Linked DNA regions of Mus musculus. The protein of the gene in region 2 purifies or fractionates together with the protein of the main gene of each other region. This does not show direct contact. Links are inferred from orthologs where the notes say so. Each region holds a gene or a part of one and is shown on either strand. Other genes may lie near its edges.

What was found. The genes of interacting proteins can lie anywhere in the genome.
Region 1: the proteins of Sqstm1 (region 2) and Irf3 purify together in Homo sapiens (affinity purification with western blotting; 4 studies listed by BioGRID). This does not show direct contact. The link is inferred for Mus musculus from reciprocal best matches to the Homo sapiens genes SQSTM1 and IRF3.
Region 3: the proteins of Sqstm1 (region 2) and Ddx58 purify together in Homo sapiens (affinity purification with western blotting; 5 studies listed by BioGRID). This does not show direct contact. The link is inferred for Mus musculus from reciprocal best matches to the Homo sapiens genes SQSTM1 and RIGI.
Region 4: the proteins of Sqstm1 (region 2) and Aim2 purify together in Homo sapiens (affinity purification with western blotting; 3 studies listed by BioGRID and IntAct, with this or other methods). This does not show direct contact. The link is inferred for Mus musculus from reciprocal best matches to the Homo sapiens genes SQSTM1 and AIM2.
Region 5: the proteins of Sqstm1 (region 2) and Hdac6 purify together in Homo sapiens (affinity purification with western blotting; 6 studies listed by BioGRID). This does not show direct contact. The link is inferred for Mus musculus from reciprocal best matches to the Homo sapiens genes SQSTM1 and HDAC6.

Annotation. Positions count from the first base shown.
Region 1 is NC_000073.6:44,999,654-45,003,783, forward strand, and holds the end of Irf3 (interferon regulatory factor 3), read left to right. Parts: intron 1-238; coding exon 239-410; intron 411-500; coding exon 501-571; intron 572-718; coding exon 719-893; intron 894-991; coding exon 992-1,369; intron 1,370-2,019; coding exon 2,020-2,135; intron 2,136-2,510; coding exon 2,511-2,693; 3' UTR 2,694-3,195; downstream 3,196-4,130. Other genes in the region: Scaf1 (splicing factor, arginine/serine-rich 19), read right to left, coding at 3,527-3,718, 3,844-3,972.
Region 2 is NC_000077.6:50,207,606-50,213,204, forward strand, and holds the start of Sqstm1 (sequestosome-1), read right to left. Parts: upstream 3,216-5,599; 5' UTR 3,153-3,215; coding exon 2,948-3,152; intron 312-2,947; coding exon 216-311; intron 32-215; coding exon 1-31. UniProt on the Homo sapiens protein: Molecular adapter required for selective macroautophagy (aggrephagy) by acting as a bridge between polyubiquitinated proteins and autophagosomes.
Region 3 is NC_000070.6:40,225,891-40,230,819, reverse strand, and holds part of Ddx58 (antiviral innate immune response receptor RIG-I), read left to right. Parts: intron 1-1,143; coding exon 1,144-1,325; intron 1,326-2,706; coding exon 2,707-2,854; intron 2,855-4,100; coding exon 4,101-4,223; intron 4,224-4,929.
Region 4 is NC_000067.6:173,461,110-173,466,038, forward strand, and holds part of Aim2 (interferon-inducible protein AIM2), read left to right. Parts: intron 1-797; coding exon 798-1,211; intron 1,212-1,646; coding exon of another isoform or gene 1,647-1,754; exon of another isoform or gene 1,755-2,743; intron 2,744-2,749; coding exon 2,750-2,938; intron 2,939-3,861; coding exon 3,862-3,909; 3' UTR 3,910-4,929. UniProt on the Homo sapiens protein: Sensor component of the AIM2 inflammasome, which mediates inflammasome activation in response to the presence of double-stranded DNA (dsDNA) in the cytosol, leading to subsequent pyroptosis.
Region 5 is NC_000086.7:7,940,955-7,945,883, reverse strand, and holds part of Hdac6 (histone deacetylase 6), read left to right. Parts: intron 1-1,085; coding exon 1,086-1,170; intron 1,171-1,269; coding exon 1,270-1,310; coding exon of another isoform or gene 1,311-1,314; intron 1,315-2,146; coding exon 2,147-2,243; intron 2,244-2,399; coding exon 2,400-2,497; intron 2,498-3,746; coding exon 3,747-3,851; intron 3,852-3,971; coding exon 3,972-4,040; intron 4,041-4,929.

The DNA of each region.
Region 1 (4,130 bases), on a different chromosome or scaffold from region 2:
AGGGCAGGGCAGGGTGGAGGGTGAGGTCTCAGCTTGGAGCCCACCTTTGGTTATAATGTGTGAAACCCTGCCTCAAAATCAAAACGATTTTTCTTTAGTGTGGAAATAGTGGGAAAGTATGAGAACGGAGGTCCTGGGGGCTCTGTCATGAACCAGAAGTGGATGGTGTGTGGTGGGAGGTGTCAGGGCCTCGGGCCAGAGTCTAAGTCGTCTTGTTGTGGAATCCCTGATATTTCAGGCCTGGGCAGAAGCCAGTGGTGCCTACACCCCGGGGAAGGATAAGCCGGACGTGTCAACCTGGAAGAGGAATTTCCGGTCAGCCCTGAACCGGAAAGAAGTGTTGCGGTTAGCTGCTGACAATAGCAAGGACCCTTATGACCCTCATAAAGTGTATGAGTTTGTGACTCCAGGTGCGTGTGACAAGGCTGGCCTGGGGGTCACAGAAAGCTTGGGATCAGGAGGGTCTCTGCCACCTACACGCTCACTTCCACTCTGGACAGGGGCGCGGGACTTCGTACATCTGGGTGCCTCTCCTGACACCAATGGCAAAAGCAGCCTGCCTCACTCCCAGGTGAGAGGCAGTCGTCCCGTGCCTCAGCCTTCCCCCCCGCCCCCCACCCCCCAGCCCTTCTCCCGGGACCTCCATTCCTCCACCGGTTGGCTGCCCTCCTGACTCAGCTGAAGCTGTTGACCAGCTAACACCCTCCTCCTCCCCCAGGAAAACCTACCGAAGTTATTTGATGGCCTGATCTTGGGGCCCCTCAAAGATGAGGGGTCCTCAGATCTGGCTATTGTTTCTGATCCTTCTCAACAACTGCCAAGCCCCAATGTGAACAACTTCCTAAACCCTGCACCCCAAGAAAATCCACTGAAGCAGCTGCTAGCTGAGGAACGTGAGTGCCAGCTGTGGCGTGGGAAGGGCTGCGGCAGGGACAGCGCTCCTTACCCTGCTCCTCTCCATTTCTCCCCTCTCACTCCACCGGTGGCTCAGAATGGGAGTTCGAGGTGACCGCCTTCTACCGAGGCCGCCAGGTCTTCCAGCAGACACTCTTTTGCCCGGGGGGCCTGCGGCTGGTGGGCAGCACAGCTGACATGACACTGCCCTGGCAGCCAGTCACCCTGCCCGATCCTGAGGGGTTTCTGACGGACAAGCTTGTGAAGGAGTACGTGGGGCAGGTGCTCAAAGGGCTGGGCAATGGGCTGGCACTGTGGCAGGCTGGGCAGTGCCTCTGGGCCCAGCGCCTAGGCCACTCCCACGCCTTCTGGGCTCTGGGGGAGGAGCTGCTTCCAGACAGTGGGCGAGGGCCTGATGGAGAGGTCCACAAGGACAAGGACGGAGCCGTGTTCGACCTCAGGCCCTTCGTGGCAGGTGAGTGAGCACCCTATGGAACTGACAGGCCATGGTGGCTGATTGAATTCAGAGTCTGCTACTAAGTTTTGTGGCAAAAAGCTAGGCCTGTGCCTCCAAGTCCAGGGGCTGGCTGCTTAGACTGTTGAAGCTAATGTAGTACAGGCCATATAAGACACTCTGGTGTGTCCACATCTCATGGTGTATACAGAAACACTGCTGAGGCTGGGAGCTTGCCTCAGTGGATAGTGCCCCAAGATTACGTCCCCTATGGTTGGGATGCCATGTGTCAGCAAGGTAGCCAGTTTGAAGTTGCATTTATATTTGAAACTTTAGTTTTCTGAGGCAGGGTCTTGCTCTTACTGCTTCTGCTAGCCTTGAACTCTCATGCCTCCTGCCACACCCTCAAGGGCTGGCATCGAGTGTCAGTCAGAGAGCGGCATTGGGCCCCAAGCAGCTGAGGAAACATCCCAACAGCCTCCTGAGCTGCGAGCCCACCGTCCTCCTCACTGCCGCTGCTGCAGGAAGGAAGGAGTGGGGAGCACTTGTTTGTGTCTGTAGGGACTTTTCCAGATAGGCAGTGTATAGCAGTGTCAGGGAAGATACAAGTTGAGCTGGTAGACAGGGTAGAAGCCATCCTTTCTTTTCTGACCTAACTCTTGGGTTCCCAGATCTGATTGCCTTCATGGAAGGAAGTGGACACTCCCCACGCTACACTCTGTGGTTCTGCATGGGGGAAATGTGGCCCCAGGACCAGCCATGGGTCAAGAGGCTTGTGATGGTCAAGGTGCCAGCTGTCTCATGCTACTGGGGATGGGAGGGTCCACTTGTGGAGGAACCTGCAGCACCCCGGGACTAGGACCCTCAGAAGCCCCTCTGAGAAATAGCTTACCCAACAGGCCTCTGCAGCCACTGTTACCCTTCCCAGAAGCCTCTGCGTGTCCTCCACAGGACTTATTCAGTATCCTGAGCTTATTGTGACTCTAGACCCTGTAGCTGGTAGCTGCAGGTCTTTGCAGCCTTTGAAGAATGTGGCTCCCAGGGGCTTCCATTAATTAGGTGGGGCGGTCAGAGTTCCTAACAGCCCTAGGCTGAGTGAGGGTCCACCCTGGGTTATGCTGGCAGCCCCTAGCTGACTAGAGATCTGTCCTGCCTCCTTCAGGTTGTTCCTACATGTCTTAAGGAGCTGTTAGAGATGGCCCGGGAAGGGGGAGCCTCTTCACTGAAAACCGTGGACTTGCACATCTCCAACAGCCAGCCTATCTCCCTTACCTCTGACCAGTACAAGGCCTACCTCCAGGACTTGGTGGAGGACATGGACTTCCAGGCCACTGGAAATATCTGAGCCCCACTCAGCTGCTACCAATAAAGCAGTTTATGCCGCCATCACATCTGCTGTCGACTGCGTCTAGGCTGGTGGTTATTCTACAAGGCTCAGTCTTCCCATCTGCAGCTGAGGTCTAGGTGCTCCAGGAGGGAGGCACAGGGACAAAACACAGCATGGCTGCCAAGGTCGTGGAGAAAGTATCACAAAGAAAGCAAGGACAAGACAGGTCCAGAGCTGCACACACATTGTCCCTACGTGGAGCAAGGGACACTGTCACAGGTGGTGATGGTTGGCAACCGGCAAGCTTGCTGTGGGGCGGGCGGGCTGACTCACCACCACGGACTGAGTCACTGCAGCCCCACAGTGCTACTGATACCAGAGGCCACTCGGGTGATGCTCAAGGCTGGACCCTGCCTCCTGTTACCCCCATATCCCCACATTCCTAAGTCTGGTGTGACACCATCATGGTTCCCCACTCACACACCCCAACTCTTTCCTCCTGAAAAAAAGCATTTCATGATTTTTTTTTTTTTTTTTTGGAGACAGGATCTCTGTAGAGCTAGCGGTCTTTGAACTGACAGAGATCCATTTACTTCAAGGGTACACCACTACGCCTGTCTGTACTTCATGAAATCTTTAATGAAATTGGAGGGGGCATGACAGAAGGGCTGGGGCTGTCGGGGGCAGGCTGAAGGGCTAGGTCAACGGGCAGGAACACGGCTGGGTGGGGGGCTCTCCTCTTCCTCACAGCAACCTTCCCCATCATCCCACTGGGGGGGGGGGGGCGTAGTGGGGAAGTGGAGCCATAAATATGTCCAGAATCTCAGAGGCACAGGGACAGGGTAAGGATCTCAGAGAGGGGGCAGGGGCAGGCCTGGGCCACCCTTGTCTGGGGGCCCTGGTTCCTTGGGTGGCCGAGGAGGTCCTGGGGGGTCCCCCGGCTTGCGACCGTGCTTGCGGAAGTAGCGGTAGCGCTGGACGTAGGCCCTCACCAGATTGCTCACCTTGACAGGGTTGATCTCCCCGCTCTTGCTGTGGCAGATCTGCAGAACCAGGAACAACTGAGTCCCTGCAGCCCCAGGGCACCTCAACCCTGACTCAATCTTGGCCAGCCTACACTATCCCCCTCTCCTGGACCCAGGTCCCCAGTCAGTCCCCTTGGCCCCACCTTGTGGACAGCCTTCCTCAGGATGTCCTTGTACTCCTCCTTGGTGATGTCTTTCTTCTGGTAGTATGGCTTGATGGCCAACTTCACCTCCTCTACTGCCCGCTCCTGTGTGTGGAGCTTCTTCAGGTACTGGTGGGTGAGACAAGGACAGTCAAGACCAAACAAGTGCAGCCCCCCTTACCCTGGCCTGCAGTTACCCCAGGCTAGTAGACACTTATAGGCTAGACCCTGTGGCACCCTGGCCTACCCAGGCCCAGCATTCTGCTGGGAGACAAACCAGTCAAACA
Region 2 (5,599 bases):
GGGCGATGTTCCCGCCGGCACTCCTTCTTCTCTGCAGGGAGAGTCAAAGAGTCCATCCAGAACTTAGTTGCTAAGGACAACCGCTTAGGAGGCCAGGACCTCTGTGCCTCTGACAACTCCCAGCCCCGCTACACCCACCCCAAGGCATCACAACTCCGACTCCTGACCCTTCGAGGAAAGCCCCACAGGAAGGAAGCCCCGGATTCAGCCTTTACCTTTAATGTAGATGCGGAAGATGTCATCTTTCACATAGGACATAGCCATTGTCAGCTCCTCATCACTGGAAAAGGCAACCAAGTCCCCATCCTCATCTAGATTGTTCAAGAAATGACACATCAGAGCCAGGGACACAGCTCGGCGGGAGCATGCAAAGGCCTTAGGTTCCATTCCCAGAACTAGAGGCTAAAATGCAGCAGAGGCACCCAGCATCTGCTGCAGTGTACAGAGCCCAGTGGTAAAGGGACATCTACTAAGGCTCTACACTCAACCTGGCTGCTGAGCCAAGCAGCAAGATGGCCGTTCATTCCGATACGGCATGAATATGTACTCCAACCTAGGTCCTAGATTAGTTACATGCAGAAGGCAGAACATATGTCATGTGTATATGTGTATAAGGGTCCAGCTTCCTGCCACTAACCACTGGGCCACCTGTGCCCTCAGGCCACGCCTAACCAGGTGTGGGTCCATCACCTGGGAGATCCCACCCTAGTCCTGATGGCCCAGCCCTTCAAAGGCCTCAGGCTTCAGAAGTAAAGGACGTAAGTCCATCTGTCCCCTCCCTTCAACTAGACAGCTAGAAACCACTACATTCAGGCTCCATCTAAGTTGTTCTTGGGTTTTTTGGTGTTTTTTTGTTTTGTTTTTTGAGACAGGGTTTCTCTGTATAGCCCTGGCTGTCCTGGAACTCACTTTGTAGACCAGGCTGGCCTCGAACTCAGAAATCTGCCTGCCTCTGCCTCCCAAGTGCTGGGATTAAAGGCGTGCAGCCACCATGCCTGGCATCTAAGTTGTTCTGAGGTTGTTGTTTGTTCTGTTTTTGTCAATTCTATGTTTTCTGCTTTCAGGGGCAGGATCTTAGTATGTAGCCCTACCTGGCCTGACACTACTTAGAGCAGGACAGCCTACAACCTGTGGATGAGCCGCCTTCGTGCTGGGATTACAAACATGCAACCAGGCTTCCAGGTTTTGTTTTGTTTTTTTAATATTGTATGTACACATCACACACACACACACTTAAGTGTATGTGTGTGCCACAAAGGCCAGAAGAGGTGTTGGGTCTCCAGGACCTGCAGCTGTGATGAGTGCTAGGGACAGAACTTGGGTCCTCTAGAAGAGCAGCCAAGGCTTTAACCATTGAGCGATTTCTCAAACCCATCTGGCTTCATTTTGTTAGCTCACAATAACTGGGATCACAGCCATATGCTTCTATGTCAGTACAAATAGTCTGTATAAAACCTGATACAGTACAAAAACCTTATACAGGCCAAAACCACACACCTGCAGGCTGGACTGAGCCTCTGAGCAACCATTTAGCAACAGCTACCATAAGGGAGATGAGAGAGATTGCCTCAAAAGAAACAGTGTCCATAAACTACAGACCAGATAAATTAAACATGACATATTCAAAGAAGACTATTCTTCATACACAAAAAGAAATTAAATACTGCCCATGTACAGAAATAGAGCCCTTGACTAGCATATGCAAAGCCCTAGGTTCAATTCCCAGTACTGGAGGGGGGAAGATGTACTAGTGAGAGCTGTAATACAAATGGGCCTTAGACATATTAATAAGTGAATGAACAAAGATTCACTGTGCCAGCCTGGTCTACAGACCAGCCAAAGCTACCTAGAGAAACCCTGTCTTGAAAAAGCAACCAAAAAAAAAAAAAAAAGCCATTTTAATGTGTTCTAATTCCTAATAGTAAAATGAATACTAAAGTAGACCAGCCATTGCCTGGAACTGGAAAGGATACAAGATGACAAACAGGAAAAAAATTATATAATAAAATAATAATTATTACAATAATTGTTATATAATTTTTATGTAATATATAAATAAAATTTATAAAACAATGAAGAGATTCTAAGCCGAATGTGAAAATAGTTATACAACTCATTTTTTTTTTTTAAATGCAAGGAGCTGGGGAGGTAGCTCAGTTGCTCGAGGGCCTAACATGCATGAAGCCCTGGACTGGATGCCTAGCACAAAGATGACTCAGAAGGACAATTTAGAGATACAGGCCATCCCGGCCATATAGTAAGACCTGTCTCTGCTAATACGAAAGAATAATCGTTATACACTTTTACTGGGTGAATTGCACAGGTCCTAGGTTATAACGCAGTTACACTGAAAATTTTCTGTCCAGTAGTCCCTGTGATTCCTGCACTAGAAAATTGAGACAAGAGGATTGGAGTGATTGAGGACGGCCTAAACCACTCGTGAATTCCAGGCCAATCAGGCTACGTGGCTTTATTTCAGAAAAGAGAGAGACTGACCAACCAACCTGGCCTACCCACAGTCCTCCATAGAGATCGCAAAACCATTCCCTCCCACAGGGAGGGTCTTGTCCACTCGTCTCTTGTCAACAACCTCTAGCTCCACCCCATGCAGCCACCAGCCACTCCAACGCAAGAGACTGAGCTAGTTCCGGGGTCCCCTACCTCCCTTCCCACGGGCTGCCCCACCCCGCCCCCGCTGCTTATTTATCCGCGTCACTCCTCTCCACCCCTCCTCCACGTCTGCCTGGTCCCAGGTCTTCCGGGGCTTTAACTGAACCCACCACCGGGCGTTACGGGGAGCAAGCGAACCGCTGGATGTTAGATGTAACCTGAGCGGCCGCCTGACCACCCTGTCCCCGCGGGGAGCCAGAGGACACGCCGCCTCGTCCTCGCCCAGACCTACTACTCCCTGGCGGGGGAGGTTGGCTTCCCCGCCCCAGGCCCTCACCGCGGTAGTGCGCCTGGAAGCCGCCAGGCCTCAGCGTGGGGAACAGCACAGCCACTCGGCTCAGCAGCCTCTCGCAGGGCCCCGGGCCGGCCGCGGCTTGGGCTTCCGCCTCCGGCTCCGGGCTGAAGCAGAAGCTGAAGCGGCGGATCTCGCGGGTCGCCTCCTCCTTGCCCAGAAGATAGGCCTTCACCGTGAACGACGCCATAACCGCGGTCTAGGTACGGACGAAACAGCTGGGCAGCGGCGGCGCCGAGAGCCCAGCTTTTATAGAAAACGGGGGAGCCCCGCCTCGTGGGGGCGGAGCCTCTATGAGCCCCGCCCCTCCCCTAGGCTGGGGCGGCCGCTGGAGCCCCCTTGATGGGACCCTTGAAAGGTACGGGGTCGAGACGACCCCACTGCCTACTCTTTTCTTTCCCACCGAATACATGGGTGACCACAAGAGACCAGCCTCAGCCTCAAGTCGTTGGGAAAAGGACCCGTAAGTATCGAGCCTAGGTACCTCCCAGGCTTGGGCCTGCCTATGACTCAGCAGTGTCGTCCCCAAGCCAGGGGGGATGTACGGCCCAGAAGCTAGGAGGACACAGATGTCTACTGTCAGGTAGCCATTCTTTTAGCCAAACAGGCTGTCTCACAGGATGCTATTCCGACCCTCCTAAACATAGTGTCCCCGGTAGTAGCCCCCACTCCCACCCCCTTCCAGGCATCCACCATGACCAGCCCCTCACTGAATAAAGGAACATCACCCACCATCTTAGGCCTCACCCAATTTAACAAAGATCAGGTTGAGAGGTGTTGGACAAGCACTGGTGACTTCTCACAAACCCACCCTGTAAGAGGGGTAGCCAGGGCTCCAGAGGCAGCAGTAGTCACAACCTGTTCATTGCAACCAGAGATTCCTCACTGCAGCCCAGACACACACACACATACACACACATTCATATTCTCTCTCTCTCTCTCTCTCTCTCTCTCTCTCTCTTTCTCTCTCTCTCTCTCTCGGAAGGTACATGTATCTCAGGCCTTAGTGGCTTCAAAGCACAAAGGGATCAGACCACCTGCCCTCCATCTAGGAACCAAAATACAAGCTATAGCCAGTCCTGTGCCACAGGTTGGTTATTCCAGCTGTTTGAGGTGCTGAGGCAGGAAAAGACCAAGTTCAAGATATTCTGCTTGAGCAACTTGGTGAAACTGTTTCAAAATAGAAAGTGATCCTAGTACTTGGGAGGTCAGAGGTTCCAGAGTTCAAAGCCAGCCTTGGCTGCATGAGGCTTCTAAGAAAGAAAAAAAGTCTGGGTGCTGGGGGGCGGGAATAAAGAATCTGGCTATACAGTTTAGTAAGGATACAGGAGATTTAGCTTAGTAGGGATACAGCTTATAGAGATTTAGCTTAGTAGGGATACAGGTCATGAGGATTTAGCTTAGTAGGGATATACCCGGGAGATATCATTAATGGGAATTTGGTGCATAGGGATATAGCTCAGTGACAGAGCACCTGCCTAGTATGTGTTACATCTTAGGTTCAACCCCCAATACAAACGCCAAAACCAGGAAATGCTGCTTTCTGTGGCCAGAGTGACCTGTTAGCTAGCATGATGACACACATCTGTAACCCCAGCCCTTGGGAAGCTGAGTCAAGAGGAATTCTAATTCAAGGCTCGGCCAGGCTTGCATAGCAAGTCCTACTCTCAAAAAAAAAACAAATTAAGCAGGGCAGTGGTGGCACATGCCTTTAACCCCAGAACTTGGGAGGCAGAGGCAGGTGGATTTCTGAGTTCAAGGCCAGCCTGGTCTACAGAGTGAGTTCCAGGACAGCCAGGGCTACACAGAGCAACCCTGTCTCAGGGAAAAATAAAAACAAACCACAAATTAAATGAATAAAGTAAAATGAGCTCTTAGCAGGAACCCAGTCCTGGGAAGGCTAGAGGCTGAGAAGGGTGTCACCCTGTAAGGCCTTCTAGGTATGGTCCTTTCCATAGGACTAGACCTGCTGAGTCAAAGTCATGGGAGAAGACATGCAGGGCAGAATTGGAGCTCAAGTCGTCTCCCTGAGGCAGGGTCTCCACACCAGCTTCCTAGGGCCCCTCTCCCAGTTATCATGTCTTCCCTGGACCTCTCTCAGAATTGGTTTTGTGAGAGCAGAAAAATCTGTAATTTTAGGAAAACTCAGCAATGGACAGTGATTTGCCACACAGGTGTGACTGCCATTTCCCTGGTGGCTAGAAGGTACACACCTATTGCCCCAGAGGACAATCCCAGTTTTAGGCTTTCCTCTCCAACAGTTGCTAGCCCAGGAAAAGGCCCCTGATCCTGCAGGACCCTCTGCTAATGCAGAGGACAGTGGGGACGCAAAGGCTGTATCCCGATGTCAGCTGCTGGCCAAGCGTGACTCAGCAGTCTAGTGGCCTGACAGCCTTAAAGCTTCAATCAGACCAAACTTCCTATGGAATGTCTGAGCCAATGGGGAACTGTGGGGAAATCCTTTACTCTGTCACCAGTGGAAGAAAGAGAAATGGGGAGATGCCCTGGGTTCCAGGCCAGGCCAGCATGCCCTACAGCCTACAGCGACTCAGGCTCTCTCCTGAGTTCCCAGGCCAACCAGGGAGGTAAACAAGGCGGTGGCTGGGGAACCCCCTGGTAGGGCCCTTTCTGCTTGCT
Region 3 (4,929 bases), on a different chromosome or scaffold from region 2:
AGAGTACGGCATTCTTGGATTCTTTTAGTCAGAAGTCATTTTCCTTCTCCATTTGCCCATTGACTTAATCTTTTCTTGGAATGGTGTGGAAGGAAACACTTTTCAAGGGCAGGATGTAAGATTTGTATTTCCTCTGGTCTTCTTTACTGTTTCCTCTTGAGAAGATAAACATGATGAATTTGACTAATTTAAAAGTAAATTGAGATGACAAAGAGATGGCTCTGTGATTAAGAGCACTTGCTGATCTTGCAGAGGACCCAGGTTTGGTTCCTAGACTTACATGGTAGCTCACAACCATCTGTAACTTCAGTTCCAGGAATCTGACCCTCTCTTCTGCTCTCCAAAGATACCAGACACACTCACGATACACAGACACATGCAAAGTAAAATAGAAATAAATATTAAAAAAAAATATATTGTGGGTTGTTGTTAAAGTGCGTGAGGGGCATTTTGAAGATTTTATTCTAAGGTCAAATACAAGGCCTCATATCTGTCCTTAGGACTTGACCCTGAAAGATAATGAATTTTAGGAGACCTAAACTGTTGGGTACCAAAAATGAGTATTACTCCCATTTTGGAAAATCATGAATAGCTGTATTAGTTGACTTTAACTACTGTGAGTAAATGCCCGAGGAAATAAAAAGCAGAAAAATGAGAGCCAAGAGGATCTGTAGCTTCTGCACCCGTGCGTGGTGAGGCAGGGCACCATGGCGGGAGCATGTGGGAAAAGCCGCACTTTCTGGTAGACAGGTGGCAAAGGGTGCCGGGCAGGGGCCCTGGACAAGATGCATTCTTCAAAGCACATCTCCAGTGACTCACTTCTCCCAGAGAGGGTACAGTTCTCAGTTGCTCCTTCTGTATGAACTCAATGTGCTGCCAGTGGTGACGCCAGGACTCGAAGGATGTGGTCACCAGGTCCCGCAGGGTGTGGTCACCTCTAAAGACTGTCACCAGCTGGTGTCCAAGCCTGCAACCTGTCAGCCTCATGGTCTGGCTCCCCAGACTGTCCAGTGACTGAGGCCATTTGCAGATGGTTTTCAGTTCCCTTGCCACTGATTTGAACAGGATTCCCATGATTTTGACTTCAAAGCATTTTTATGTTGGATTTGCTTAAGAAATCCCCATTTCTCTTTTCTTTTTCAGGTTACTGTGGACTTTGTGAAGCCATCGAAAGTTGGGACTTTCAAAAAATTGAAAAGTTAGAGGAACACAGATTACTTTTAAGACGTTTAGAACCAGAATTTAAGGCCACAGTTGATCCAAATGATATCCTTTCTGAACTATCCGAATGTTTGATTAATCAGGAATGTGAAGAAATCAGACAGGTAAACCAATGCCAGGTACTAAATTTGAAGAAAAATGCAGAGACATTGGAAATGCCCATTTTTCTGTCTTGTTTTAGGCCCAAGGATAATTGAAACCCATAAAAGCTCTCATCTAGCAGATATAATGACTAGAATAGAATTTTTAAAGTGAATGGGGTAATTTTTGTGCTAGACTATTAGAAAATTATTTAACCTATTTGCAGTTAAAGTTGCCCCCTTACTTTAAAAAAAATAGTGGTTTATGCATAATGCAAATCACACCAAACAGTGCAACAATTAAAAGGAAAAATATGTCAGGCTCTTGGGCATAGATACATTTATTACAGTCTCGCAGTCACTTAACTAGTGATGTGATGCCAGGCAGTTCTCTAAGCATCTGTGGGGTTTTTGTTGTTGTTGTTGTTGTTGTTTGTTTGTTTGTTTTTCATGTCTAAAGTAAGAAAATTTATCTTTTGTTTTTTGTTTTTTTGTTTTTTTAGATTTCTTTATTTTATTTTATTATATGTGAGTACACTGTAGCTGTCTTCAGACACTCCAGAAGAGGGCGTCAGATCTTGTTACGGATGGTTGTGAGCCACTATGTGGTTGCTGGGATTTGAACTCAGGACCTTCGGAAGAACAGTCGGTGCTCTCAACCCCTGAGCCATCTCTCCAGCCCCCTTTTGTTTTTGTTTTTGTTTTTGTTTTTGTTTTTTTGTTTGTTTGGTTTTTTTGTCGTTGTTGTTGTTTGTTTGTTTTGTTTTTTCGAGATAGGGTTTCTCTGTGTAGCCCTGGCTGTCCTGGAACTCACTCTGTAGACCAGGCTGGCCTTGAACTCAGAAATCCGCCTGCCTCTGCCTCCCGAGTACTGGGATTAAAGGCATGCACCACCACGCCCGACGAAAATGTACCTTATTAGCACTCTTTTAGGGCTAAATGAGAGGTCATGCACAAAATGTGTATGTCAGCTTGATGCATAGCAGTCTATGCACAATGCATTTCAGTTATCATTAGAAAGAAAAGTCATAGAACATCTGCTTAGAAAAGAGACCTGCTGCTGTGCTGTTAGGCATTTCCAAATGGCTCTGTGTGCCGATACATCCTTAGGGTGAATGGTTAGCGTCTGGGTTAACGCTTTTACCCCAGGATTGCTCTTGGTCAGGGATATAAGGATTCAGAAGATGAGAACATTTGCCTTGGCATATTGATAACACATTATAAAGGACAAAGGTGAAGAAAGGAATATCTTAAAAGCTAGTGCTGGACAGGGCAAAAAGATGATGCTAACTAAGCCCTACTCAACTATACTTCACAGTGATTTCAATCAGATACCGCTTCCACAAAAGCTTGCCAGAGGAAAGGCTGAGCTGCCTGATCAGTGTGCTGCATTTGTCTCCCCCAGATCCGAGACACTAAAGGGAGAATGGCAGGTGCGGAGAAGATGGCCGAATGTCTTATCAGATCCGACAAGGAAAACTGGCCAAAGGTCTTGCAACTTGCTTTGGAGAAAGACAACAGCAAGTTTAGTGAATTGTGGATTGTTGATAAAGGTGGGGTGCTCCAAGAAAGAACCCTGGACCCTGCTGCGCTCCTCCCAGTTCTCCCCACTTTACTTTCCATCAGAGGCGCTGTTCACTTCAGATACCAAAGGCTATATCCCTAGGATACAAGCAGTGGAAAGCTGAATTCTGGGAGGAAGGGAACTACATGGCATGGAATTAACCCGACCAGGTCAAAGAATCTAGGGAAGGCTTCCAGCCCCAATTTGTTATCAGAGAAATAGCTTGAGAATTCTAGACCTAAAGGTTCAAACTGCAAGACTTACCTCCCTATCAGAGCAGAGGCTGAGTGTTGGGGGTGATAGCTATGGACTGGTGCTCTTGCCCGGAAGCCATCTGGACTCCGACAGAGCAAGAGTAAACGAAGATTTTCTGTGTTTAAGCCAACCTCATTTGGCTTCCGGAAACTCACTTCTTGCTTTAAACAGACCTTGATAAATACCTGAGTTTCTAGTTTCCTTTCTCACCTAGATTTCCTTAGAACATAAATTATTCCAGAAACTCTCTACATCGTTGGTCAGAGATGGAATCCTGTCTCTTTAGTGTGCTCAGGAATGACGCCCCTGCGTTATTGGCGTGAGTTCCGGAGTGGGGAGGGGCTCCGGATGCAAACTGCTGAGAGCCCCGGGTTCCACACTTGGAGTCGCGTAGTTCCAGATGAAACTGGAATTCAATTGCCAAGTTGAGCTTCAAACTCAGAATAATCCTTGCAGTTGTTTTAAGCCGTCAAAGTGGGGCTCTCTAGATGGCTCAGTGGATAAGGTTCCTGCCACTGATCCTGAAGACCCAAATTCAACGTCCAGGGCCTACATGATAGAACCAATCCCCAAACAGTGTCCTCATCCCTCGGCACACTCACTGTGTCGTGTGTGACACACACAGTAAACAAATCCATTTCAAAAATAAATAAAATGTTAAGAAAGTGCAAGACCGTGATTGTAAGAGCTCAACGGAAATTTAGATGTTTAGTGTTAGTGTTAGGACTTTTTGGGACTTCCCCAACCAAAACCATAATCACATTGCGCATGCTTTTAATCCCAGCACTCAGGAGGCAGAGGCAGGTGGATTTCTGAGTTCGAGGCCAGCCTGGTCTACAGAGTGAGTTCCAGGACAGCCAGGGCTATACAGAGAAACCCTGCCTCGACCACCACCCCCTTCCAAAAAAAAAAAAAAAAGATTCTAAGCTGTAAGCTGTTATTTGTGTTTATGATTGTTTGCTTGCCTGTTTATCACAAAGGTTTCAAAAGGGCTGAAAGCAAGGCTGATGAGGATGATGGAGCGGAGGCGTCCAGCATCCAGATTTTCATTCAGGAAGAGCCAGAGTGTCAGAATCTCAGTCAGAATCCCGGGCCTCCTTCAGGTACCAAGCATCGTTTGCTCTCATCCATGATGGTGTCCCCCAGCACTTTGATGCCCTTTGAAAAAAAGTCTTTTTAAAGGATGATTAAGAAAAGAAAGAATTTGTGGGGCAATAGGGACTTCATAATTAGAATCCCTGCTCCTGTCTTCCATGGCCTCTGCATGGCCTTCAACCCTCCCCCTCCTCTCCCCTCCCCTCCCCCTCCCTCCAGTATGTATGCCTTCATCTGTACCGTGTTCCCAGAACTTCAGTGTCCATGACTTCTCAAAGCAGCCTTGCTCTCTAAAGAACACTTCTGCTCACTAAGCAATGGCTTTGAGAATCTGGGCTGACAGCTGGTTTTCCTCGGCTGTTTTTGATGATCTGTTCTTACTTTGTTCCAAGTGGCTTTGTTTTGAATTAGGCCATTCTTGCTGTCCTTTTTCTTGATAAAGTTTCCACGATTAAGAAAGAATTCATGGGGCTGGAGAGATAGATGGTTCAGCGTTTAAGAGCACCGACTGTTCTTTCAGAGATCCCGAGTTCAATTCCTAGCAACCACATAGTGACTCCAGCGTCTGGGTTAATGTTTTTACCCCATCTGTAATGGGCTCTGGTGTACTCTTCTGGTGTGTCAGAGGACAGCGACAATGTGTATATTCATATACATTAAATAATAAATAAATCTTCAAAGAGAAAAGAAGGAAGGAAGAAGTAACAGAGAGAG
Region 4 (4,929 bases), on a different chromosome or scaffold from region 2:
GTTGTATTATAAGACCTTATTTGACAAAATCCATTTTTTGGTATTTAAAAGATTTTGATGATTTATAACTATAAATAATAAGATGTAATTTATGTAAGCCTTAATATATATGCTTCTAAAACATACACATGCGTGGGCAAACACACATACATGCACATTCCTGTACACAGACACACTATCTCCTATTGCTCTTAATTTCTTAATCTGGAAGAACAAAATGGCAAGATGAGAATTTATTCATTCCAAGAATAATTCATTCTTCTAAGAGTAATCTTACCAAGGTAGAGTTGACTCTAATTTTTAATCTCCTTTTAATTCATCTGTAGGATCTCATCCCGAGATCTCTTCCTTTCCTCACATTGAATGATCTGCATTTCTATTATGCACAGGAATATTCCTGGGAATGTGCAGGAGCTCTGCGCACATCACTGAGCTTCCTCACTCTGATGCAAGAGTCAATTACATGCTCAGAGTTGGAGGGGAAAATATGCTGTAGTAGAATTACAAGAAGACAGAGTCAGATTCAGCCCCTTGCAGTGTTTCAGGATTCTGACACACACTTTTCATAGCAAAGAAGGATTCTGATTCAGGAATTTTGTCTCCAGAGTCAGTAAAACTGCCCCGTCTGAACATAGAACACAAAATATCCCTTAGATAATTTTAGGTCTCCAATCTCTTCCTAACGTTATCTCCATTTTCCCTTCAATTCAGCTTCTTTCTTCCTGGGGTTTTACTGTGAATGAAGGCTGCTTGGGTAAGTGTGGACCCTAGCTAACATCTTTTCTCTCTTGTCACAGCCTCAGAAGAAACAGATGGTGGCAGAACAGGAAGCCATCAGAGAAGATTTACAGAAAGATCCACTTGTTGTCACGGTGCTGAAAGCTATAAATCCCTTTGAGTGTGAGACTCAGGAAGGAAGACAAGAGATATTTCATGCAACAGTGGCCACGGAGACAGATTTTTTCTTTGTAAAAGTTTTAAACGCACAGTTTAAAGATAAATTTATCCCAAAGAGGACAATTAAAATATCAAACTACCTTTGGCACAGTAACTTCATGGAGGTCACCAGTTCCTCAGTTGTGGTTGATGTTGAATCTAACCACGAAGTCCCAAATAACGTTGTTAAGAGAGCCAGGGAAACTCCCAGGATTAGTAAACTGAAGATTCAGCCATGTGGAACAATTGTGAATGGGCTGTTTAAAGTCCAGAAGGTAAGTTCCTATACGCAATTTTATATTGATCAGTAAGAATAATATAAAATATAACACCTATTCTAAGCCTTAATGGGACTTTAGAAAATACATTTCAATGTTTTTTACTCTATTAAATCTGAAACAATTAAAATAAATTTAAAAATTGATTTTAAATCATTTTAACAATTAAAAAAGAATTTTACAGAGTTCAGGATTTGTAGGATGATAATTTACCAAGACAAAGCTCACCAAGTTTTATTTTGTATTTTTGATTGTTTTGCTGTTTGAGACAGGGTCTTACTGTGTGGCTTTGTCTTATGTGGCATGCACTGATATTCGCTGCCCCTACCTCTTGAGTGCTGGGATCCAAGTGCATGTCACCACACACAGCGAAGGAAGGTTTGATTTTGAAACTCTGATTTTGAAATTTCTTTTTTTTTTTCCGCCTTGTAGCTTCTGAAGCATAGACACAGGCATCTTCACCTCTGTGTTGCTTTTATGCACTTAGATACTAGCCATATTCAAAGTCACTGTTGGGTTGAGCACTCTGCAGAGGACTGATGTACAGGTATGGTTTGAAGACAGAGAGAGAGAGAGAGAGACAGAGGAGAGGGAGAGAGAGAGAGAGAGAGAGCCTGACTTGAGCTTCTAAAACATCAAGGCCCACCCCCAATGACATTTCCTCCAACAAAGCCACTCCTACTTCAACAAGAGGCCACATATCTTAATCCTTTTGCATACTGCCACTCCCTGTGATCCTGTGGGGACCATTTTCATTCAAACCAGAAATCAGGTTAAAAAAAAATATATATTAGTCTTGTACGAACAGTTTTCTGGCCTAAGAGCGACCCTGAAGAACCACAGGAAACGTGTTGATTTCTGAACTTGTAGCCAGGATGGCCTCTCTCGTCTTTTCAGAAAGGAGGCAGGAGGGAAATGTCTTCCTTGGAAAATTAAAGCATAAAAAACACTCATCCCCTCTCAGTTCTGAGCCTTCCGTTTGATCAATTACCCACTAATGTTTTCTCATTTAGTGAATAAAACTAACATTGAAATATTGATATTTTACATCCCTGACTAGAATCTGGTCTCCTTCTAATCTGGACTTGACTGTGAATGATATTTCATTCATGGTTGACTTTTTACTTTTAAATTTCTTCACTAGGTCTTTTATTTTTGGTTCATGGGTTTCTGTTACTTGTTTCCTTAAGTGACTCTCCTCCTAACCAGGAGGTGCTCCTTTCCCATGACTGCCCCCTGCATGCTGGCCCTGGAGAAGCCCCACCTTCCCTGTCTACCCGTTGTTTCTGTGAGTTATTCTGGCCTCCCAAAAGAAAAAAACCTTGGGACTAGGAAGATGGACACAAGAGGCAACATGCTTTTAATATAATCCTCCTACCCCTTCCACTGAGATTTGCTAGAATCTGTTGGGTAGAAGTTTGGAATTATTTATTATATTATTTTGGAAAGCTGCTCCTAGCTTGTCTGATAACTGATTGATATGCTGCTCTTTCTTAGTCATCTAGCAGGACTTGACTCATATTTTCCTTTCACAGATAACAGAGGAAAAAGATAGAGTACTGTATGGTATACATGATAAAACAGGGACAATGGAGGTGTTGGTGCTGGGAAACCCAAGCAAAACAAAGTGCGAGGAAGGAGACAAGATTAGACTCACGTTCTTTGAGGTGTCAAAAAATGGAGTGAAAATTCAGTTGAAATCTGGACCTTGTAGCTTTTTTAAGGTATGGAAATTCTCAGAAGAGGATGTTGTTTTGTGTTTTCTATTGGAAATCCAATGAACAGGATGGCAGAGAAGAGCTTAATATGTATGCCTTTGCATCTCACAGACCTGAGAAGCCTGTCATTCAAAAATACATAACCCAGATACACAATTCAAAGCTGTGGATTTCCCAAGGAAAACACACATATGCGTGTGCATGTACACACACATACACATACACACACACACATACACACACACACACACAAACACATACACACATGCACACACAAAATCTCACTCTCCTTCTTTTCTTCTTCTTCTTCTTCTTCTTCTTCTTCTTCTTCTTCTTCTTCTTCTTCTTCTTCTTCTTCTTCTTCTTCTTCTTCTTCTTCTTCTTCTTCTTCTTCTTCTTCTTCCTTCTCCTCCTCCTCCTCCTCTCAAAGAACTTTCCACAATGAATTTATTGAATACAGTCTAAATCTAATGAAGGCAGCTTTCTCAAAGTTGCACACATCATTCTGGCAAATGCAGTTAAAAGTCAAGTCAGACTATAACACCCTGACAACAAACATCTGAGCCAGGGCAATCATCTTCACATCTGTCATAGTCCAAAGCAGTTAAGTCAGCTATCACATCCCCGTGCTGATGATCCCACTGATTCTGCTTTCCTCTCTTCCTCACCACTCAACTGTATATATAGAGTTATTAGATGGGGACCTGAGAAGTCTTCATATTTGTCCTTCTTGTGTAGGAGTGTGTGTGTGTTCAGGGCAGATATAGTTCAGGAGAGTTGTCCAAGAGTGACAGAATTAAGAGGAAATATGTGTTAGGTGAGGAGATTTGATGAGAAGAAAGGAATTTTCAGGAGAACACAGTAAGTGAAAGTAGAGGAGAATTAATTAATCAACAATATTTCAGTCTTCATCTTCCTTTCCTACCCAGGTTATTAAGGCTGCAAAGCCAAAAACTGACATGAAAAGTGTGGAGTGAAGTCACCTCATTTGAAAAACCTTTTCCTGAAGAATCCTGATGCTGCTCCTTGAACTAGACTGAACTACCTGAGGATAGCATTTTACAACCTCATCATCATATTGTATTACTTAGAAAAGGACAAATACTCAAAAAACATCTGAAAAATATATGTAAACTTATTATTAATTAAGTTATTAAGACTGCCCAACCTGGGGATCCATCCTATATACAACCACCAAACCCAGACACTATTGCATATGCCAGCAAGATTTTGCTGACAGGATCCTGATATAGCTCTCTCTTGTGAGGCTCTGCCAGTGACTGACAAGTACAGAAGCAGATGCTCACAGTCATCTATTGGATGGAACACAGGGCCCCTAATAAAGGAGCTAGAGAAAGTACCCAAGCAGCAAGTGGTCTGCAACGCTATAGGAGGAACAACAACATGAACTAACCAGTACCCCCCAGAACTGTGTCTCCAGTTGCATATGTAGCAGAAGATGGCCTGGCCGGTCATCAATGGGAGGAGAGGCCCTTGGTCTTGCAAAGATCATATGCCCCAGTACAGGGGAATGCCAGGGCCAGGCAGCAGGAGTGGATGTGGGTGGGTTGGGGAGTGTGTGTGGGGGGTGTTATAGGGGACTTTCGGGATAGCATTTGAAATGTAAATGAAGAAAATATCTAATAAAATTGTTGCTTTGTCTAAGGTTTGAGATATCATTCTTCTCTACATAGACACTGAGGGTATAAGTATGGCGGGATTGCAGATGTGACAGCAGGGCCTTGTCGGAGAGACGCCTGTGGGTGATAGAGAAGATTGGTGATATATAATTTTTTAATTTAAAAATTTTAAATTTCCTTTTGGGGAGGAGGTTACAGGTGGAGGAGGGTGGGTATGATAGTACTAAGAAATCAGTGATATTGGGGTATGTGATGTGAAATTCCCTAGCACTCAATAAAAGAATTATGTTTTTAAAAAGAAAGATTGTTGATAAATAAATAAATATGATTTTACTCATGATTCAGAAAGTTAGAAAA
Region 5 (4,929 bases), on a different chromosome or scaffold from region 2:
GACCTGTTCAGCCAGGCCTCTCCTCACGAGCTCCAGGTCACTTAACGCACGCTGGCCACCTTCTCGTCTTTCAGTGTGCCAGTCACCCTCTCGCCTTGGGTCTTTACCCTTGACTGATTCCTCTTTGAACTTTCACAACTATGGAGACTCACAGAAGCCTTTGACTGGCCACTACCTCTCTCACATCTGTTCTTAGCTATTTTACTAGCCTCTGCCATTGTCTGTTAATCATTACACTGATATTTGCAAATATAGTAGCCGTCTTCCCCCATCCCGACCTAAAACTAACTCATGATGTCAAGAGGCTTTCTTTATGGTACATTTGTTGAGGCTATAGCCGTAAACAAAGCTGCCTTCAAAAGTAACCAAGAGGTGACCTCTCCAGTGTTAGAGTGGAGGAGCTCAGGTGGGAGGGAGAGTGAGGTTTGACTGGAAGGGGTGCTTCCCTTTGGAATACAATAGCTAGGGGGTATTGCTAACATTTGAGCAAAGATACAGAGGGTTGGAGGAGGCTAAAGGACTGAGCCGTGAGTCATCACTGAAAAGACTTCCAGGCGTGAGAGACCGTTGAAGTCCTCAGGCCTAGCTGAAGACAATGTGGTTTCGTTGAAGAGCAAGGAACACATTGCAGGGAAACAAGGTGAAAGAGGAGGGGTGTGGTAAGAAAGACAGAGTCAGAATAGGGATGGGAACAGATTCGGGTTTTCTTAGGCCCTTCTCGGTGTGATGAGAAGTTTGGCTTCTACCGGGAACATAGTCGGAGCTACAAAAGGGTTTTGAGTAGTAGAATTCTAACCACTGGCTGGCTCAGTATACAGGAGGGGCTGTTGGGGGAATAAGTATAGAAGCAGAGAGGGGTTCTCATAAAGATGATGGAGCAGACAGCTCAGACTGGAGGTTCCAACAGCGTGAATGGTAGCGGAGAAAACAAGTATAAAGACTTCAGAAATGACAAAGAAAGGCTGATGTTGCCGGTAAGGGGTGAGCAGCTATGGGGGTGAGGGGCGGAGATGGGACAAGAGCAGACATGCTCCCTAGCACTTTTGCCTATCTGTGTGTATGCGTGATTCCATCCACTCCTGCAGCTTCCCTGAAAGCCCTGAGCGGCTCCATGCCATCAGAGAGCAACTGATCCTGGAGGGCCTCCTGGGCCGCTGTGTGTCCTTTCAGGTGACTCCTCCACAGCCTTCGGATGGTGGGTGCGGGCCTGCGAGGACCTAGGCCTGGCCTGGCTTCTAGCCCCCCTTTTTTTTCCTTGTGCCTCCCCAGGCCCGGTTCGCTGAGAAGGAGGAGCTGATGTTGGTTCACAGGTGAAAACTTAGGAGCTTGGTAGGGTGGGGAGGAGGATACCCAGGCTCAACCAGGACAGACTGAAGGAATCCCATAGACTCTGTGGCCAGCCTTGGGCACGTCCCTGAGCCTCTCTGAATATGTTATTGCTTTAAACAAAAAACAAAAAACAAAAACAAAAAAAAAACACAAACCCCTAAGTTCCAGACAAGTATGATGGTACATGTCATCACTTGGGACATGAAGACAAGCGAATCAGGAAATCAAGACAGCCTCAGCGACATAGCAGGTTTAACTTGGGTTTATGAGACCCTGTCTGAAAAAGCCAATCCCGAAAGAAAAAGAAATCTTAAGTCCTTCAGGAGGGTCAGTGTGTGTATCAGGTACCTGACAGCATCTTAAGCCTGTGAAGGGCTCGTGTTATTATAATCTGGTTCGTTAACTGATGGCAGATACTTGCCAGAATGATCAGAATGAGTCCTGGGGGAGTCTAGAAACTCAAAGGAAGAGGCCTGGTACAATGTGGCTCACAGAATAACTAGCCTCGCAGAGAGAATATCTGAGCTGAGTTCCAAGAGGCAAAAAGGTGGGTGAGTCCAGCAAAGAGAAGGGCAGAGGAAAGGGAGAATCAACAGAACTCTTAACTATCTAGTCAGAGGCCTAGAATTTCAAGTTAATGGCTGTCTCGAGGAACTAAATATATAACTAGAGATGGGAGAGGCTAGAGAAGAAAAAGGGACTACAGCCTGCACCCCAGCTGAACCCCCTAGGTTGACTATGGAGGCCCGACTTAATGCGAGGTCTGTCTGCGGAGGGACCAGGGCTGTAAAATCTTTCCTCTATCTTGTGTCCCCAGCCTGGAATACATTGATCTGATGGAGACAACCCAGTACATGAATGAAGGGGAGCTTCGAGTACTGGCAGAAACCTATGATTCAGTGTATCTGCATCCGGTATGGATGAGAACTGTGGGGTCAGGGTGTGGCAGCAAGTCTTGGGTGTCTACCGTATCCATGCCAACCTCACTGTGGGAATGAAGAGCTAAATAGTTAGGGCCATGCTTTCTCTCTCTCTCTAACTCTTTCTCTCTGGTTTTCCACGGTCCCCAGAACTCATATTCCTGTGCCTGCCTGGCTACAGGCTCTGTCCTCCGGCTGGTAGATGCACTCATGGGGGCTGAGATTCGGAATGGCATGGCCGTCATCAGGTAGGACTCTGAAGCGTTGGGCATCTTACATTTTTTTAAAAAGCATTTCCACATAGTGGTGCGTGGAGGTGCATGTCTGTAATACCAGTACTTATGAGATGGATGTTAAAGGAATGCTCGGGGGGTTCAGGGCTAGCCTCAGCTATATAAATTTGAGGCGAGCCTGGGCTATCTAAGACACCTTCTCAAAAAAAAAAAAAAAGCCCTACAAATGTGAAATGTGTTAACTCAGGTACCCTGTCTTCAAGTGGTTGAAGAGTCAAGTGGTACAAAAAGGGGGTTCAATAAAATTCTCTCTCCTCTTTGTTGATGGACCCCTGAAAGGTGCTCATTGTCACCAGTAACTTCCGTGTCCTTCCACAGATGGTTTTACTCAGTTAGTAAGTAATAAGTATCCCAGTTCATGGCTTCAGGGACATGTATTTCTTTTCTATCTGGAACATCTTGAAATTCAGATGCAGCGAACAGTGCGTGACATCTCAAGCCTCAGCCTGTGCCTTTCACTGTTTCATTGTTGCCCATGGAAGGTCAGAACATTGGGCCACAGCTGACTTCCTAGAACTGATAAAAATGCAGAAGATAGCCTTTGTCCTCCTCAGCCCCTTTTTGTAAGCACATGACAGCACTCCTTTCCGTACCGTGCATTTAAAAAAAAAAAAACCCTTGGACATCTTTATCTTTGAAAGCTGTCTCTTAACAGTATATGGGTTACACTCGTGTGAGATGCCATTGTGCAAGCATACTTTTAAGCTAGTCACCCCCTTGCTGGTGGGAATTTTGGTTCTCTTCAGGCTTTGATAGCATACACCAGTGGTACATTTCTAAAGATAGCACTTTTTATTATATAGGTCTCAGCTAAGCCTATGTAGCAAAATGACTGGGTATTAAAGAGTATGCTTTCATACTCTTATGGATAGCTTAATTGATTTTTATTTTTTGAGACTGGAGCTTGCTATACATTCTAGGCAGGCCTTGAACTATCGATCCTCCTGCTTCAAATTCTTTCTGAGTGTTAGTATTGCGGGCATGTGCCACAATAGCAAATATGGGTGAGGGTACCTTTGGATGGTTATGTTTAAATCTCCTTGGTTGAGAGAGTGTTGGCTTGGGGGCAGTGAAGCTTCAAAAGCCACAGTTACTCAGTTGCTGGCAGACTTATAGAATCTCTCTAGGAAGAATTGGGAACACAGGAGAGTCCACCTCTGGAGAGGAAGACTCCCAAACCTGTAGCTTTCCCTTTCCTGCTTAGGCCTCCTGGACACCATGCTCAGCACAATCTTATGGATGGGTATTGCATGTTCAACCATCTGGCTGTGGCTGCCCGCTATGCGCAAAAGAAGCACCGCATTCAGAGGTTGGTAGCCAGTGACAGACGGAACGTGGGTAGCATGGAATAGGGGGTGCTGTGGTCTAGGTTGTTCCTCTGTGTTTCACTTAGCCCCCTGCACAGAGCTCCCCTCTCTCCTGCTCACAGGGTTCTCATCGTGGACTGGGATGTGCACCATGGTCAAGGAACACAGTTCATCTTCGACCAGGACCCCAGGTACATCCCATGTCTCACCCTAAGTACTGGATTCTTAACCATCAGGCCCAGCCACAGGGGCTAGGAAGCCATTTACATTCAGTTGTCCTGGAACCAGGAAGTGGATGCTTTTCCTTGTTGTCTACTGTCTCCTAATTTCACTCTAAAGCGGAAACTGTGGCCTTCCCATTTCACACATGGTCAAACAACCTTACAGGTTCCAGTGTCAGGCAGAGAAGTGAAAGATGTGGGGTTTGACTTAGTGTTGGAGAGCTTGTTCAGCAATTTACCCCTGAGCTGGAAGGGACCTCAGATTAGTGCTTTGTCTTTTTCAATTATGACAACATTTCAAACTATTCTGAAAAATTAGTCGGGTGGCAAGGTGGCTCAGCAGGTTAAAGTTCTTGCCTGACAACTAGAGTTTGATCCCCAGGACCCACATGGTGGAATGAGAGAGAAGAAACTCCTGCAGGTTGTCTTCTGACCTCCACATATACATACCATAGCATGCACGTATCCCCTCATCTGTAAAGAGTTGGGCATGCTGGAGCATATACCTTTAATCCCAGAACTTGAGAGGCCAAGGCAGATGGATTCCTGTGACAAGGCCAGCCTGCTCTATGGATTGAGATAACGGGCCCTACACAGAGAAACCCTGTCTCAAAGAACAAGCAAACAAAAAAGGCTGTAGAGTATTTCCTTGCATTCCTCCTGAACACTAGCCATGCACATGGTGCAGACATATAGAGAGGCAAAATAGCATAGACATAAATTTTTTAAAAAATTAAAAAGAAACTTATTTGTAAAAAGCCATGTAGAAGCCAGGCTTGGTGGCGCACGCCTTTAATCCCAGCACTTGGGAGGCAGAGGCAGGCGGATTTCTGAGTTCAAGGCCAGTCTGGTCTACAAA